3 linked regions of the Drosophila melanogaster genome follow. The protein of the gene in region 1 interacts with the protein of each later gene in a pairwise test. Each region holds a gene or a part of one and is shown on either strand. Other genes may lie near its edges.

What was found. The genes of interacting proteins can lie anywhere in the genome.
Region 2: the proteins of Cwc25 (region 1) and Surf6 interact in a two-hybrid assay, tested with the Drosophila melanogaster proteins (one large-scale study listed by BioGRID).
Region 3: the proteins of Cwc25 (region 1) and CG10513 interact in a two-hybrid assay, tested with the Drosophila melanogaster proteins (one large-scale study listed by BioGRID).

The regions. Positions count from the first base shown.
Region 1 is NT_033779.5:2,743,358-2,748,398, reverse strand, and holds Cwc25 (Cwc25), read right to left. Parts: upstream 3,302-5,041; 5' UTR 3,201-3,301; coding exon 3,183-3,200; intron 3,128-3,182; coding exon 2,905-3,127; intron 2,843-2,904; coding exon 1,518-2,842; 3' UTR 1,455-1,517; downstream 1-1,454. Other genes in the region: Pgk (phosphoglycerate kinase), read left to right, coding at 18-79, 144-1,088, 1,147-1,387; CG9961 (uncharacterized protein), read left to right, coding at 3,475-3,632, 3,687-3,795, 3,862-4,941.
Region 2 is NT_033777.3:19,902,816-19,907,211, reverse strand, and holds Surf6 (surfeit 6), read left to right. Parts: upstream 1-2,343; 5' UTR 2,344-2,423; coding exon 2,424-2,589; intron 2,590-2,643; coding exon 2,644-3,452; 3' UTR 3,453-3,547; downstream 3,548-4,396. Other genes in the region: RhoGAP92B (Rho GTPase activating protein at 92B), read right to left, coding at 1,325-1,581, 1,852-1,901; ClpX (caseinolytic protease chaperone subunit), read left to right, coding at 4,314-4,371. UniProt on the Drosophila melanogaster protein: Involved in a nucleolar function.
Region 3 is NT_033777.3:25,274,941-25,279,777, reverse strand, and holds CG10513 (uncharacterized protein), read left to right. Parts: upstream 1-2,565; 5' UTR 2,566-2,583; coding exon 2,584-3,652; intron 3,653-3,717; coding exon 3,718-3,917; 3' UTR 3,918-3,988; downstream 3,989-4,837. Other genes in the region: CG10514 (uncharacterized protein), read left to right, coding at 1-1,005, 1,068-1,273; CG11878 (uncharacterized protein), read right to left, coding at 4,612-4,808.

The DNA of each region.
Region 1 (5,041 bases):
TCCAGAAAAATCCAAAGATGGCCTTCAATAAGCTGAGCATCGAAAACCTGGACTTGGCGGGCAAGCGGGTGTTGATGCGGTAATCCAAAGCCAATCCTCGCGTGAAATTCAGTTGCATAAACATTGCCCGTGCTTCTTTGCAGCGTCGACTTCAATGTGCCCATCAAGGAGGGCAAGATCACCAGCAACCAGAGAATTGTCGCTGCCTTGGATAGTATCAAGTTGGCCCTTTCCAAGAAAGCCAAGTCGGTGGTGCTGATGTCCCACTTGGGTCGTCCCGATGGCAACAAGAACATCAAGTACACCCTGGCACCCGTGGCCGCTGAGCTGAAGACCCTGCTTGGCCAGGATGTGATCTTCCTAAGTGACTGCGTCGGCAGCGAAGTGGAGGCCGCTTGCAAGGATCCCGCACCGGGATCCGTCATTCTGCTGGAGAACGTCCGCTTCTACGTGGAGGAGGAGGGCAAGGGCTTGGATGCCAGCGGCGGCAAGGTCAAGGCCGATCCTGCCAAGGTCAAGGAGTTCCGTGCCAGCCTGGCCAAGCTGGGCGATGTCTATGTCAACGACGCCTTCGGCACTGCCCATCGCGCCCACAGTTCCATGATGGGCGATGGCTTCGAGCAGCGCGCAGCTGGTCTGTTGCTGAACAAGGAGCTGAAGTACTTCTCGCAGGCCCTGGACAAGCCACCAAATCCCTTCCTGGCAATTCTCGGTGGCGCCAAGGTGGCCGACAAGATCCAGCTGATTGAGAACCTTCTGGACAAGGTCAACGAGATGATCATCGGTGGCGGCATGGCCTTCACCTTCCTGAAGGTCCTCAACAACATGAAGATCGGCGGTTCCCTGTTCGACGAGGAGGGCTCCAAGATCGTCGAGAAACTGGTGGAGAAGGCCAAGAAGAATAACGTGCAGTTGCATCTGCCAGTGGACTTTGTCTGCGGCGACAAGTTCGCCGAGAACGCTGCCGTCAGCGAGGCCACCGTGGAGGCCGGAATTCCCGATGGACACATGGGTCTGGATGTGGGTCCCAAGACCCGTGAGCTCTTCGCGGCACCCATCGCACGCGCCAAGCTCATCGTGTGGAACGGGTAGGTGTCACACTGAAGCTACTTCTCCAAATGTCCTATAATGGTTTTCCCATTTTAGACCCCCCGGTGTCTTTGAGTTCCCCAACTTCGCCAACGGCACCAAGTCCATCATGGACGGCGTGGTGGCCGCCACCAAGAACGGCACCGTCTCCATCATCGGCGGCGGCGACACTGCCTCTTGCTGCGCCAAGTGGAACACGGAGGCACTCGTCTCGCACGTCTCCACCGGAGGCGGCGCTTCGCTGGAGCTCCTGGAGGGCAAGACACTGCCAGGCGTGGCTGCATTGACCAGCGCCTAAGCGTACATATATACGGTATATTAATGTTAATCGCATCGTTTACCTTGTAAGCACAAACCACGACGTTAAAAAGTGTTGAATCTATTTGTTGCGGAACCATATAATGCATACGAAATAAAGGAATCCTAGTTTATTTGCGGGCAAAGTTGCTGTCCATTGAGGAGGCGGTGCGCTGTATGTTGTTGAGATTGGCCCGGATGCGATCGCCAATTGAGTTATGGTTGGCAATGGCCTTCTTCACCTCCTTGTTAATGAACTCCTTGTCGAAGTCTCGTTCACGATTTTGGGCCTCCTCGCGCGCGTATGCTTCTCGGTGCTTGCGAACCACCTGGCTGCGATCCGCTTCTCTCCAAGTGGCGTTGTCCATCATTTCGCGCAGGCGAGCTTCTCGGTCGGCTTCGCTTAACTTTGGCTTGCCGGTGGGACGGCTGGGAGGCGGTCTTTCGGCAATCCTTCGCTTGTCATCTCCTTTGGAACTTCGGCTCCTGCTGCGTTTTGATCTGGAACGCTCTTCAGGTGTCCTACTCCTGCGTTTCTCGCGCTGCTTTGAAGTGTCCTTGCTTTGACGTCTGGCTTTTCTGTCCTCTGGGCTCCTGGTTCTTCTCTGTCTTCTCGCTAAGGGACTTCTGCTCCTGCTCCTGCGCCTTTCCCTTCTCTCTTCTGGACTCCTTTGCCTTTGCCTTTGTTCCGGACTTCTACTCTGTCGCTTTTTTCTATCCCGGGGGCTTCTACTCCTGCGTCTTTCTCGCTGATTTCTGTCCTCTGAGCTGTGGCTCCTTTTGTGCTTTCTCCTTGGCTCTTCCTCTTCGTCACTACTTTCGTCACTGCTATCGCTGCTTTTCTTCTTCTTGGATTTCTTGCTCTTTTTCTTCTTGGTGGCCATGTCTAATTGATTTGAAATGGTGCGGTACTTGGCGTCCAGCAGCTTGTCCAGTTTAAGGTCACCTTGGTCTCCCTTGAGTTTGCTCACTTGGCGGGCTAATTTTCTGTCCAAGTCATCGTCGCTATCATTGCTCTCGCTGTCACTACTTTCCTCATTGCTGGATCGTCGGTTCTTCTTCTTCTTTTTGGATTTCTTAGACTTTTTGTTCTTCTTGTTCTTCTTCTTTCCCTCTGCGGCCTTTTGTTCCTGTTCAGTCTTGAGAATGCGATGGATTTCCTTCAGCTTGACGGGGTTCTCAAGCAGCTTTCGACGGGATTCCATTTCGCGCTGCTTGATGAGCATCAGGGGATCCTCGAGGGTCTTGCGCTGTATGTCCACCTGTTCGTTGGACTGCACATTGCGGTAGGTCCGGATGGAGAAGGGCACACAGTCGTGCTCCACATGGTTGATCGTTTGCTTGAGACCCACTGTGTTCTGCTCCTGGCGGCTTTCCTCCGCTTGCAGCGTCTCAAAGGACTTGTCGATCTTACGGCCCAGGAGGTACTCCTCGCGGTTGATCAGCTCTGTGCTGTCTGGAGCAAGATAAATATGTATGGATAATGAGTTTTATAAGAGTTTCACATGTATGACTCACTTTTGTACATCCACTCCAGCTTGGCCTCGCCGGCGGCTCCGCCATTATTGCTCAGCACTCCGGAACTTTCGCCCAATCGCCTTAGTTCCTCTCTGTCCCGCTCCTCGTTGATCTCCTTGCGCAGATCCTGCAGCTTGCGCTCCTCCATCTTCGCTTGCTCCTCCGCCTTCCAAACGCGCTCCTGGTTTTTCATCGTGTGCGGATGCCATGATTTCTTCAGATTCTGCGGGAAAAATCAATGGTAATTGACGGATAATCAGTTGGGAGACATTACTTACTAGATCTCCGCCACCCATCTTGGGTTTGATTTGCGTTTTAACAGCAAAACAAACAAATTACAAACAATTCCAGATTTTCCCTCCTTTTCTGTTGTTTTCAACAAAATCATATGTTCGCCCGGGCTGCCAGATCGTGGTGAAGTAATTTAACTTGGTGTTGCCATAGGGTTACATTTTTCTTTTACTTTTTCGAAAATTATTGAAAATAGTTAATTTAGTTACTTATTTTCATAATTACTTCCTCATCGTGCATTGTATTTTCAGTCAAAAACAGGTAATAAATTTATTTAATATGCTTCCAATTCGGCAGAGTTTATACCAAAGAGCTCAAACTCGATTTACAAAATTAAGATTTCCAAGATTTTTTAGCAAAGACGATTGCAATGGAAAGCAAGTAAAGAAGTTGAGCTTAAAAAATGTAGATGTGGCTGGGAAAAGGGTTTTTATGAGGTGAGTATCCTTGCCAGATATGTTTTAGTGTGTGATTTATAAATTTATTTTTAGAGTGGACTTTAATGTACCCATGAAAGATGGCAAAATAACCAACAACCAACGAATTGTTTCCGCACTTCCCAGTATTAAATATGCCTTGGACAAGAAATGTAAGTCCTTGGTGAGTTGATATATCTTCCTTCAATTCCTAAAAAGTATAGAACGAATAACTTAATTTTTTGCCTAGGTTTTGGCATCCCACTTGGGGCGTCCGGATGGCAAAAAGAACAAAAAGTTTAGCCTGGAACCCGTGGCCAAGGAGCTGGAGAGTGTGCTGGGCCAGCCGGTTCAATTCCTGGACGACTGCGTGGGTGATAGCACCCTGAGAGCTTTGAAGGATCCCTCCGACGGCACTGTGTTCCTGTTGGAGAATCTTCGTTTCTATGCCGAGGAGACGGGCAGCAGCAAGGACGATAACAAGAAGAAGGTCAAAGCAGATCCCGCGAAGGTGAAGGAATTCCGAGCCAAGTTGGCGCAGCTGGGCGAGATCTATGTGAACGATGCCTTTGGAACAGCACATCGTCCGCATAGTTCCATGATGGGCGATGGCTACAAGGTGCGAGCGGCTGGTTTCCTGCTGGACAAGGAACTGGAGTACTTTGCCAAGGTTCTCCACGATCCGGCCAAGCCCTTTTTGGCCATTCTGGGTGGCGCCAAGATAGCCGATAAAATTCCACTGATAACGAACCTCCTGAACAATGTAACGGCCATGATCATATCCGGTGGCATGGCCTTCACCTTTCTCAAAGTGCTCAATGGCATGGAGATTGGAAAGTCCCTCTTCGACGAGAAGGGATCCGAGTTGGTCAACGACATAGTCTGCAAGGCGAAGGAGAAGGACGTGAATATACTATTTCCGATTGACTTTGTCATAGCCAATAAGATCGACAAGGAGCCGGATAAAGTGGAACATGTGGATGCCACACAGGGCATACCGGAGGACATGATGGGTCTGGACCACGGCCAGGCATCCAGTCAGATGTTTGCTGGCGCTATTTGTGCATCCAAAACCATCGTCTGGAACGGACCGCCAGGCTTGTTCGAAAACGAGCTATTCTCCAAAGGCACCGAGTCCATGCTGGAGGCAGTAATCGGGGCCACTAACCGAGGAGCCACCACAATCGTTGGTGGTGGGGATACGGCCACCGCTTGCTTGAAGTTCGGAGGCGCCGACAAGGTCTCGCATGTGTCCACCGGTGGAGGAGCTTCCCTGGAGTTGCTGGAGGGTAAGGTTCTGCCTGGAGTGGCTGCTCTTTCGGATGCCTAAACGCACTGCTTTACAATGGTTATTCCACTTATATGTACATGTATCTTAAATTCAATTTGGACAATTTAAACAATCAGTCTCTCAAAATACAAAGTTATTT
Region 2 (4,396 bases), on another chromosome or scaffold:
GCTCTAGGCTTTATAGCCCTTTCAAAAATAATGTTTGCATCGTTTGGCGATCGATTTCCGCAGCTTGACCCAATTATGATTTCCCGAGCATTCGAATGGAGCTTCCACTTAACCCACGGACACACGTTCACTGTGGCTGCGATAGTTGCATGTGTAAGCGTTCGTGTCTAATCAGGAACGTGGGGAACTAAAAAAAAAAAGGGGGGGGGGGCTCTCCAGATCCCTGGCCGTTACACAACCACCGAGATGCTCTTGAATCGCTGCAACTGCGGCAGAACTGGCAATTGCAATTGACGCACACGCATCTGCGAATATGTGGAATGCAGAGTGCCTGAAAGGGGGAAACAGCGAATGGAAATAATACAGGCAAATAAAAATAACACTCGGAATGAGTAATGCGACCTAGGGGGAGCGCCCACCAAATAATAATAAATGAACAGCGAAGAAGAGATCATGACGATACGATGATGTATGAATTTGGCCCAGACTTTTACTTTTACTAGCCACAGCTAGCCAAGCAGCTAGCATAATTATCGCCGTTTACCGGGCTTTGTTATGCCACTTCGCGCGCGATGTGTAACAAATTTAAATGAAATGCATAGTGAATCGGGCAGTGAATTGTATGGAAGCAGGGCAATAAAAACGGGCGCCAATGGGGGCGGGCTAACTTGGCTGGCAAAACAAAAAGGTGTATAAATAGACAATGCCGAAACCGCAAATAATAACCAATACCAATACTGCGGGCGAACGGGCTGCGAAAGAAAGCGGCGAAAAAGTCATAATAAAAATTATAATAATGATTAAAAAACGCCGTCGATGTGGATGTCGATGTTGATGTTGCCGTTTGCAGTTGAGAAATGTAAATGCCACAAGGCCAAGCGACAAGGCGAGGCCGCCAATACACACAGACAAACCGAAGCCCGTGACACAGTCATCCACTGTAGTGTGTTCTCCAAGCCCCCTGCGAACCCGTACTCGTGTTCGTGTGCCATTGTGCATGTCTGGCGGCGATTATCGGATTTGGAGCGAACGACAACCACTGTGCGCCTTATCAGCAGCGACAACATGACACCCACCAGGGCCGTAGGCATGGCTGATTGCCGCTGCAAGGAGGGGCTCTCAGCTGGGAACTATTTTCAGATTGTAAGAAACATCATATGGATGTTTAAGCTAACATGCTAACAAACTATGATAAGCTAGGTACCTAAAGCAATATCAATATAATCACTTGATGAAGAACAAATTCTGTAACTTCCCCCTCTGGCGAATGACCGCCTACGCAACTGCCTGCCTCACTGGAAATCCCGGTTGCCCGATTACTAACCGCAATTGGCGAGGACCTTCTGCAGCGGCATGTCCTTGGGCAGCTCCTTGGCGGACTCGTCCAGAGCCTGGGCAATCTTGTAGTGACTGTTCTTCTTGGTCCGCTTGTCCTGCTCCTCGCTGCTCCCGCTTCCACTTCCGCCTCCGCCGCTCAGCGCCGGCAGCTTGCGGACGATCTTCTCGATGGTGTCCCGGTATCTGTCCACCTGCCGCTCGATCGCCTCCAGCTCCGAGTCCTTGCTGTCCGACTTGCTCGATCTGCGAATGCGAAAAGGACCATTTTGACACGGGTTTAGCACGGGTTAGGTCATCATCGGCAGTCCACTATTGTTACGGCTGTCATCGCGCTTTGTTATTGATGCAGTTGCTCTGTGGCTGCTTCTCTGCTGCTTTTGTTGTTGTTGCTGCTGCTGCTGTTGCTTCTTTCGTGATGAGGCAACACACACCTGTCTGTCCACCTGGAGCGCACTTACACAAACACACACCCACAGACATCCGACCGACAGACTGGCTGGCCTTTGAACTTACCTTGACAGATTTTCGGCTGCTATTTTGATTTTGGCAAACTGCCTCTTCATCTTGGCTGATTCGCTGGTGCCGCTCGCGTCTCCAACTTGAACTGAACTGCTGTGTGTTTGTTTGCGATGTGCAATTAGCTGGGCATTGAGTAAATACTTAAAACAGGCAAATTAGTCATTCTTCAACGATGTTTTACGGAAAAGTGAGGCGGGTGTGACCGCAGCGGGAGCGCTGGGAAATGACAAAAGGCTGGAGAGCGCCTTTTTCGAAAGTTCGTATTTGGTAACACTGTTTGATAAATGCCTGTTGAGATTTCTCAGAGCTTAGGCTAGAATTATGAATTTAAGCAATGGTTAATTAATGTTTATTAAATTTCAATCTCCTTTAATCTGAAACCATTGCTTAAATTCGCTGAATAGGGGAATACCCCTTACTACTTGTAGCGGTACCAGACATTTGCGCTAGGGTAACCACTGTCGAAAACACCCGAATTCTGTGGGGTCACACTGAACTCGACCGCCTTGCTTAGCTGCACGTGTGCGTGCGTAAATAATAGTTTTATTGTTATTTTACTCTCGAAAATGACCCAGGCGGAGATCGTGAAATGTCTGCGGGAGGAGTATGAAATCGAACACAACAAGGATCAGAAGCCGGAGAAGGAGGACCTGCCCGCCATCACCAAAAAGTTCTATCAGCGAGTCTTGGAACTGCTGACCATTCACAAAGTGCCCTACTCCAAACAAGAAGGTGAAACCATTAATGAAAAGCCTTAAATCTTTAACTTTATCGTATTTCCTACAGATGAGGAGACCTACGAAGAGTACCTGCTGTCGGACACGGAGGAATCGGGAAACAAGAAAAAGAAACAACAGGGAAAACTGAAAAACCAAGACTCCGACGACGAGGATGTAGAGGCACGCATTGCCTCCATCAAGAACAAGCTGCGCCAGAAAAAGGGACCCACAACGGAGCGACAGCAGAAGCGACGCGAATCTAAAAAGCTTAAACGCAGCAAGGGCGTCCAGAAACTGCTCCTCTCCTCGGCCAAAAACCTCAAAAACGAGAACGTCAAGCACCAGAAACTGAAGAATGGCGTGGTGAAATCAGAACAGGAGACGGAGGACAGCAAGGAACAGATCCAGCCGGTCAAGGTGCAACCGGTTTACAACCAGGAGGCCAAGATCGTCTACTCCAAGGTGGACTTTGCCGCCAATCCTGGAGGCAAAGCCAAGAAGTCTCACCAAAACCCCAAGGAGATTCTGAAGAAGCTGCGCGACACCAAGAAGCACCTAACCGAACTGCGCGAACAGGGCGAAACGGACAAGGCGGCGGAGATCCAGACGGACATCGCCTGGCGCAACGCATTCGACAAGGTCGAGGGCAAGAAGGTCAAGGACGACACCAAGCTGCTGCAAAAGGCCATCAAGAAGCGGCGCGTGGAGAAGAAGAAGTCCAAGACCAAGTGGACTGAACGCAAGCAGAAGGTGGAGCACGACAAGGAAAAGAGGCAAAAGAAGCGACAGGAGAACCTGGAGAAGCGCAGCAAGGACAAGAAGAACCGGAAACTAAAGACGGCCAGCAAGAGGGGTCGCATCATACCCGGCTATTAACTATGCTTACTATAGCCCTTAAGTGTAAAGTAGTGTAAATGTATGCCACGTTGAAATTCAACTCAGAATGCTTTAGAAAAAAAGTGATCTTTCTGAAATTTACGTTTTTATACTTTCGTGTTAGAAATTTACTTTTCCGGCCTCGACACAGTCAAAATTCCAGTAGACAGCTAAATTCCCAGTTCCAAGCCACACTATTTGGCTCCTCGTTTTTGTCCACTTTGTGTCACTTTGTGTTCCACTGTGCGTTGCGCGGCTTCACCAAAGATTGGCAAGAAGAAGAACGGCGAACAGCTGAGACCGATAACAACAATCGATTGATATCGTAATCGTTTAGTTGGATTGCTGCGATTTTTCCAGATTTTCCGAGTACTTACAAGAGACAAAAAGTGGATCAGATAATGCTGGAGACCCTAGAAATTTGTGGATCTTTTAATACAGTATAGTGACCGATTTGGCAAGAAGAAGCAGAGCGAGTGGGGCAGCCAAAACAACGAGAATCACACGCACGCACACAGCCACAAAAATTACGTGCAGAGCGCAATCTATTCCCCCCATTTTCCACCGAAAATACAGCAAGGCAGGCGGAAAATCATCCAAATTGCGACGCACTTTGGCGAGCGACGGATAACCAACAAGTGGATATAGAAAAGCAATCCCTGCAAAGCGAGGCATCCCCAGCAGAAGTCACAACAATAACTTTGCAGATCAGCAGAGCAAGAAGAAGAAGCGGCCGCCAGCTGAGTAGCAAATCGGTGCAAAGCAGGGGCGCAGGGGAATCCGAGTCCAGGAGCAACTGCAGCGGGCGCGGAGGAAGCGGTAGACGGAACAGAGGCACAGAGGCGGCGGGCAGCAGCCACCATGAGCATGGTGCGGCGGATTATCCTGCTGGGCCCCAAATACAGTGTGTGGGCAAAGGGTAAGTGCTGTGCCGTCTTGTTGTT
Region 3 (4,837 bases), on another chromosome or scaffold:
AATACATCGAGCATGCACTTCGCTGCCACTACAAGGATGAAGGACTAACCATAACTCAGCTGCAGATAAATCCCGCCCTGGGGCCTGGTGAAAACTACGGCGGAGTTCTGACCCGTGCTCGAGTGGAGTTCACACTGTCTAACAAGGAGAAAAATGTGCAGAACCTGATTGTAAAGACGGAAATCGATGATGATGAGTTGACCCAGGAACTGATGGCCCCATATGATATTTACAACCGCGAGATGACCATCTACCAGGAAGTGCTGCCCAAATGCAGGGAGCTGCTTAATGAGATCGGAGATACTGAAAGGATATTTCCCACGGCCATCTATGTGGATCGCGAGCGTATGGCCATTATCTTCGAAGATCTTTCTGTGGTGGGCTACGTAATGGCCGATCGAGTGCGTCGCCTCAACGAGGAGCACACTCACCTCATCCTGCGCAAGTTGGCCAAATTCCATGCCGCCACAGCGGTCTTGAACGAGCGACAAAGTGGATGCCTCGAAAGTTACGATCGTGGTTTCTTTAATCGCTATACAAACGCCTACAGTGGCTACTTTGTGGGTGGTCTGCTGGCCGCCGCTCGCTGGATGAGCAAGGTGCCCACGTTGGCCCACTACGGAGAGAAGCTATTCGCTTTGGCTCCGCACTACATGGACATCGGCAGGGAGTGCTTTGCACCCACTCCGGGTCAAGTTAATGTTCTGGCCCATGGCGATGTGTGGACCAACAATGTGATGTTCAAGTACGATCCGAATACGGGACGACCCGTCGATGTGCTGCTCATTGACTTCCAGTACTCCTTCTGGGGCTCCCCATGCATCGATCTCCATCACCTGTTCAATACTTCTCTAAAGGAGCCACTGCGTAGAGATCAGCAGAACGGGCTCTTCCAGTTCTACCACAAGATATTCACTGAGACGTTAGAAAAGCTCAACTATCGTCAAAATCAGATTCCCAGTTTGCATCAGTTTAAATTGGAGGTGGAGCAAAAGAGATTCTTTGGTAGGTGGTATATTTAATCACAAAATGTAATTTCTTTTTAAATAATTGTATATTCTTTATAGCTTTGCATTCTACGGTAGTGGTGCAGCCAGTTATGATTAGCCAGGATCCCACGGATGCCTGTTTCAATGCCTTGATGAACGATGATGAGCGTGGCATTCGGTTTAAGAACCGATTATATAACAACCCTACAGTTCAACAAAATTTACATTCCCTGGTTCCCTTCTTCGATAGAAAGGGACTGCTGGAAGTTAACCAGACCTGTTAAGAGATTATTAGGATATGTTTTATTGGGCTTCCACGTTTTATGTCTATAAGTTTAAATAATAATAAACAATCTCATTTTAAATTAAATGTTTATCTCTGTTATGGGATATTTGACTTTCCAAAATTCAAGGGACTAGTGCAATACGGTTGGGACATTTTTGATCTGAGACATAAAATGGCCAACATGTCGTATAAGCTATTTTTAAAACATTGAGATAAGAATAACACTTGTGTTCTCATAAGTGGGTCATAATAATTTTTGGTATAAAATCAAAAAGCAAAATAATGTATCGTTCCTAAAAAAAATTAAAGAGAATATGTAAGACATGTTTTGAATCTGACATATGTAATGGATCGTTTTTTATTTATTTAGGTGCATTATCTCCAATTGACAATATCACAATTTTTAATTTATTAATGAGAAAAGAAAGAAAACGGATATGCGTACCTAATAAGTTGACCATCAAAGAAATTCTCAAGTTGGAAGGTATGTTACAGAATACATTCAGCAGGAAAACAGAAAAGGTATTCGCTCAAAAGTAGGCAGTGCCGTATTCAAAGCTCCTCTTGAAAATAAACAGATCGTAAATCCTCGAACAGATGAAAATAAAAATTCTGTTGCTAGATAAAGGAAGACCCGACATATATACAAATGTACATTCAAGATTGTTATCGGCTACACCTGAAAGTATGCAGGGGAAATCTTATCTCCTCTACCCATTATCTTGGCACTTGAAAACTTGTTTAACTATTTTCCTTCTGGGCTATTCTGTTTCGAAAATCCTTGTGAAATTCAAAGTTTCCGACTGATTATTATAAATACGTAGAACGTTAAATACTAGGAAATAAAAAACGAAACCATTGTAAGTCTGTAAATAGCTTAACTATCCGGCTCAACTATGCAAATGGATGGACGGCAGATGGATTTATGGGCTGTGAAGTAGATTAGTTTGACGCGAGCACGAGAGCGATCTTTAGACGCCACGTCAGCACCATTCGGCATGAATTACGGCGGGCACACTTACATCATATATAGGAACGTGCACCGATTTGCGAGATGTGGGGGTGTTATCTCACCCTGTCAAGTGTCGCGCTCCGAGATCTGCTTCTATCTAGTCAGCTTTAGATACTCACGAATCTCTGTCGTATGAATCGAAATCCACGGGCAGCAGCTACGTAATTGTCTGAGCCAGCTTGCTTTACGGCTACCATAATGTGGGATCTGTTGTCGGCGAGATTGCGTCTTCCGGCTGCCTATAAATGGGGCCTTCGACTGGACCAAGTGATCCAGAACACAAGTCGAGCATCATCATGGTGGAGCAGGGCAAGGAAGACGCTACCGAATTTCATCCGGCGCCAGAGTGGCTAGATGAAACCTACTTGGAGCGACTGCTCCGGGATTTGAAGAATGATCCGGGACTGAGGATCACCGATTTGGTGATCAAGCCCGCCACTGCCAAGGGTGACAATTATGCTAGTGTGATGACACGCGTGCGGATTTTGTTCTTGAAAAGTGGCGCCAAAAGCCCCGAGACTGAATACTATATTGTGAAGACCACCTATGAGAACGATGCCTTCGCCTCTGGAATATTTTCCCAGTACCAGGTTAGCACCACGGAAATGCGTATGTACGAGAAGATCCTGCCCCAATTGAGCTCGCTCATCGAGAAGACTCGCCAGCCGGAAAAGGTTTTCGCCAAGACATTGCATGTGGACTACGAGCACGAGGCCATCATCTTTGAGGACCTTGCGGTGACGAAATATGTCCTGGCCGATCGTCTGGTTGGTTTCGATCTGGAGCACACCCGCTTGGGACTCCGAAAGCTGGCCAAGATGCATGCGGCCGCTGCTGTTCTGAACGAACGTCAACCCGGATTGCTGACCAAGTTCGATCACGGCATCTTCAATCGCCACACCCAGGCCTTTGCACCCTTCTTTGTGAATACGGTGGGCGTGGCGGCTGACTTTGCCAGGGAGTGTCCCGAATTGGGTGAGCGGTATGCTACCAAATTGAAGAAGCTGCAGGAACGTGTAATGGAGTACTCCACAAGAGTTTACGATCCCCAACCGGGAGATTTTAATACATTGGTGCACGGTGACTACTGGGTGAACAATGTGATGTTGCGCTACGGCGAAAATAAGGAGCCACTGGACATGACTCTCATCGACTTCCAATTCTGCAGTTGGTCCTCGCCGGCGGTGGATCTGCACTACTTCTTCAACACTTCGGTGCAGGTCGATATTCGCTACGAACAGCAGGATGCCCTGTTTCAGTATTATCACACGGTGCTCGTGGAAACGCTTAAGGATCTCAACTTTGGTGGCTACATTCCCACATTGAGGCAGTTCGTCCTGCAGCTCGAAAGGGGCAGATTCTTTGGTGAGTCCCATCTGGAATGATTTTCAAAAACCCATTATAATTGTTTATATTATTGTATCTAACAGCTGTCACAGTCGCTCTGGTCTGCCAGGCCATATTGACCAATGACCAAAACGCCGATGCCGACTTTAATGCTTTGATGAAGGATGACGAACGAGGCCGTAACTTCCGGAAGGTATTGTACACCAACAAGAGGTTGCAGGACAATCTCAAACGCGAGCTGCCACGCTTCGATCGGAGTGGTCTACTAGACGTAATTGACTGAATGGAAGCCATCATATACTACGAGTATTTGATAAAAAATAAAAACAAATTTTATTTTGAAGTTAAAACCATATGAAAAGCAGTTCATTTTTATTGCAAGTTGGTAAGCAATAAGATTAGAAATAGAACACACAATGGTTCTATTGTAAATGTTTGTATTCATAAAACTATATTAAATGTGACGTTTTAAAGCAAACGATAAGCGGGCCAACGGTGCGTATGAGTTATAAGGGGGACGCAACAATTCACTTACAAGTTTTTTCCTCAGTAGTACACCTTGACTTGTTAAATACATTCGTATTCGTATTTATTTGTTGTAGGTAAATATTAGTTTCTTTTATTAGCTAAAACATCTGCGGCTTATCTTTTGGCGTATCGCGATTGTTTCTATTTCACCACGATTCAAGGGCTTGTAATTGTTATCTTCTGAGATTTTTAGTATTGCTTGCACCTTTTGTTTGTCAAGAGTTTAGCACTATCTTGCCGAAATAAACTCGAAAGCGCTATTATCAGTCATGAACACTGTATTTCATATAAAAAGGTCAGTTATTGCCGAATTACACACATAAAGTGCAATCAAGCTATTAGATAAGTATTTTCCCAGGAAATTAAAAGCAACGACGTAGTTGAGCCAATACGTAGTAGTACTTAAACTTTTATTTATTTTAACTATTTACACAAGTTCAAGATTATCATTACATGTCATCCAGCAATCCAAACTGATCCAGAAAAGGCAGTGTGACACTTAATTTCTTTTTTATATTTTCCGATTCATAAACTGAGTTCTTGAATCGCATTCCACTCTCGGAACTGGATAGGACCTGCTCAATAGAAGCATCCTCTTTGCCCTCGTACTGCATGACAGGCTCAAAAATCAAGGAACAGAATACGGCTGCGGATAAATTATTTAAAAAACTATTT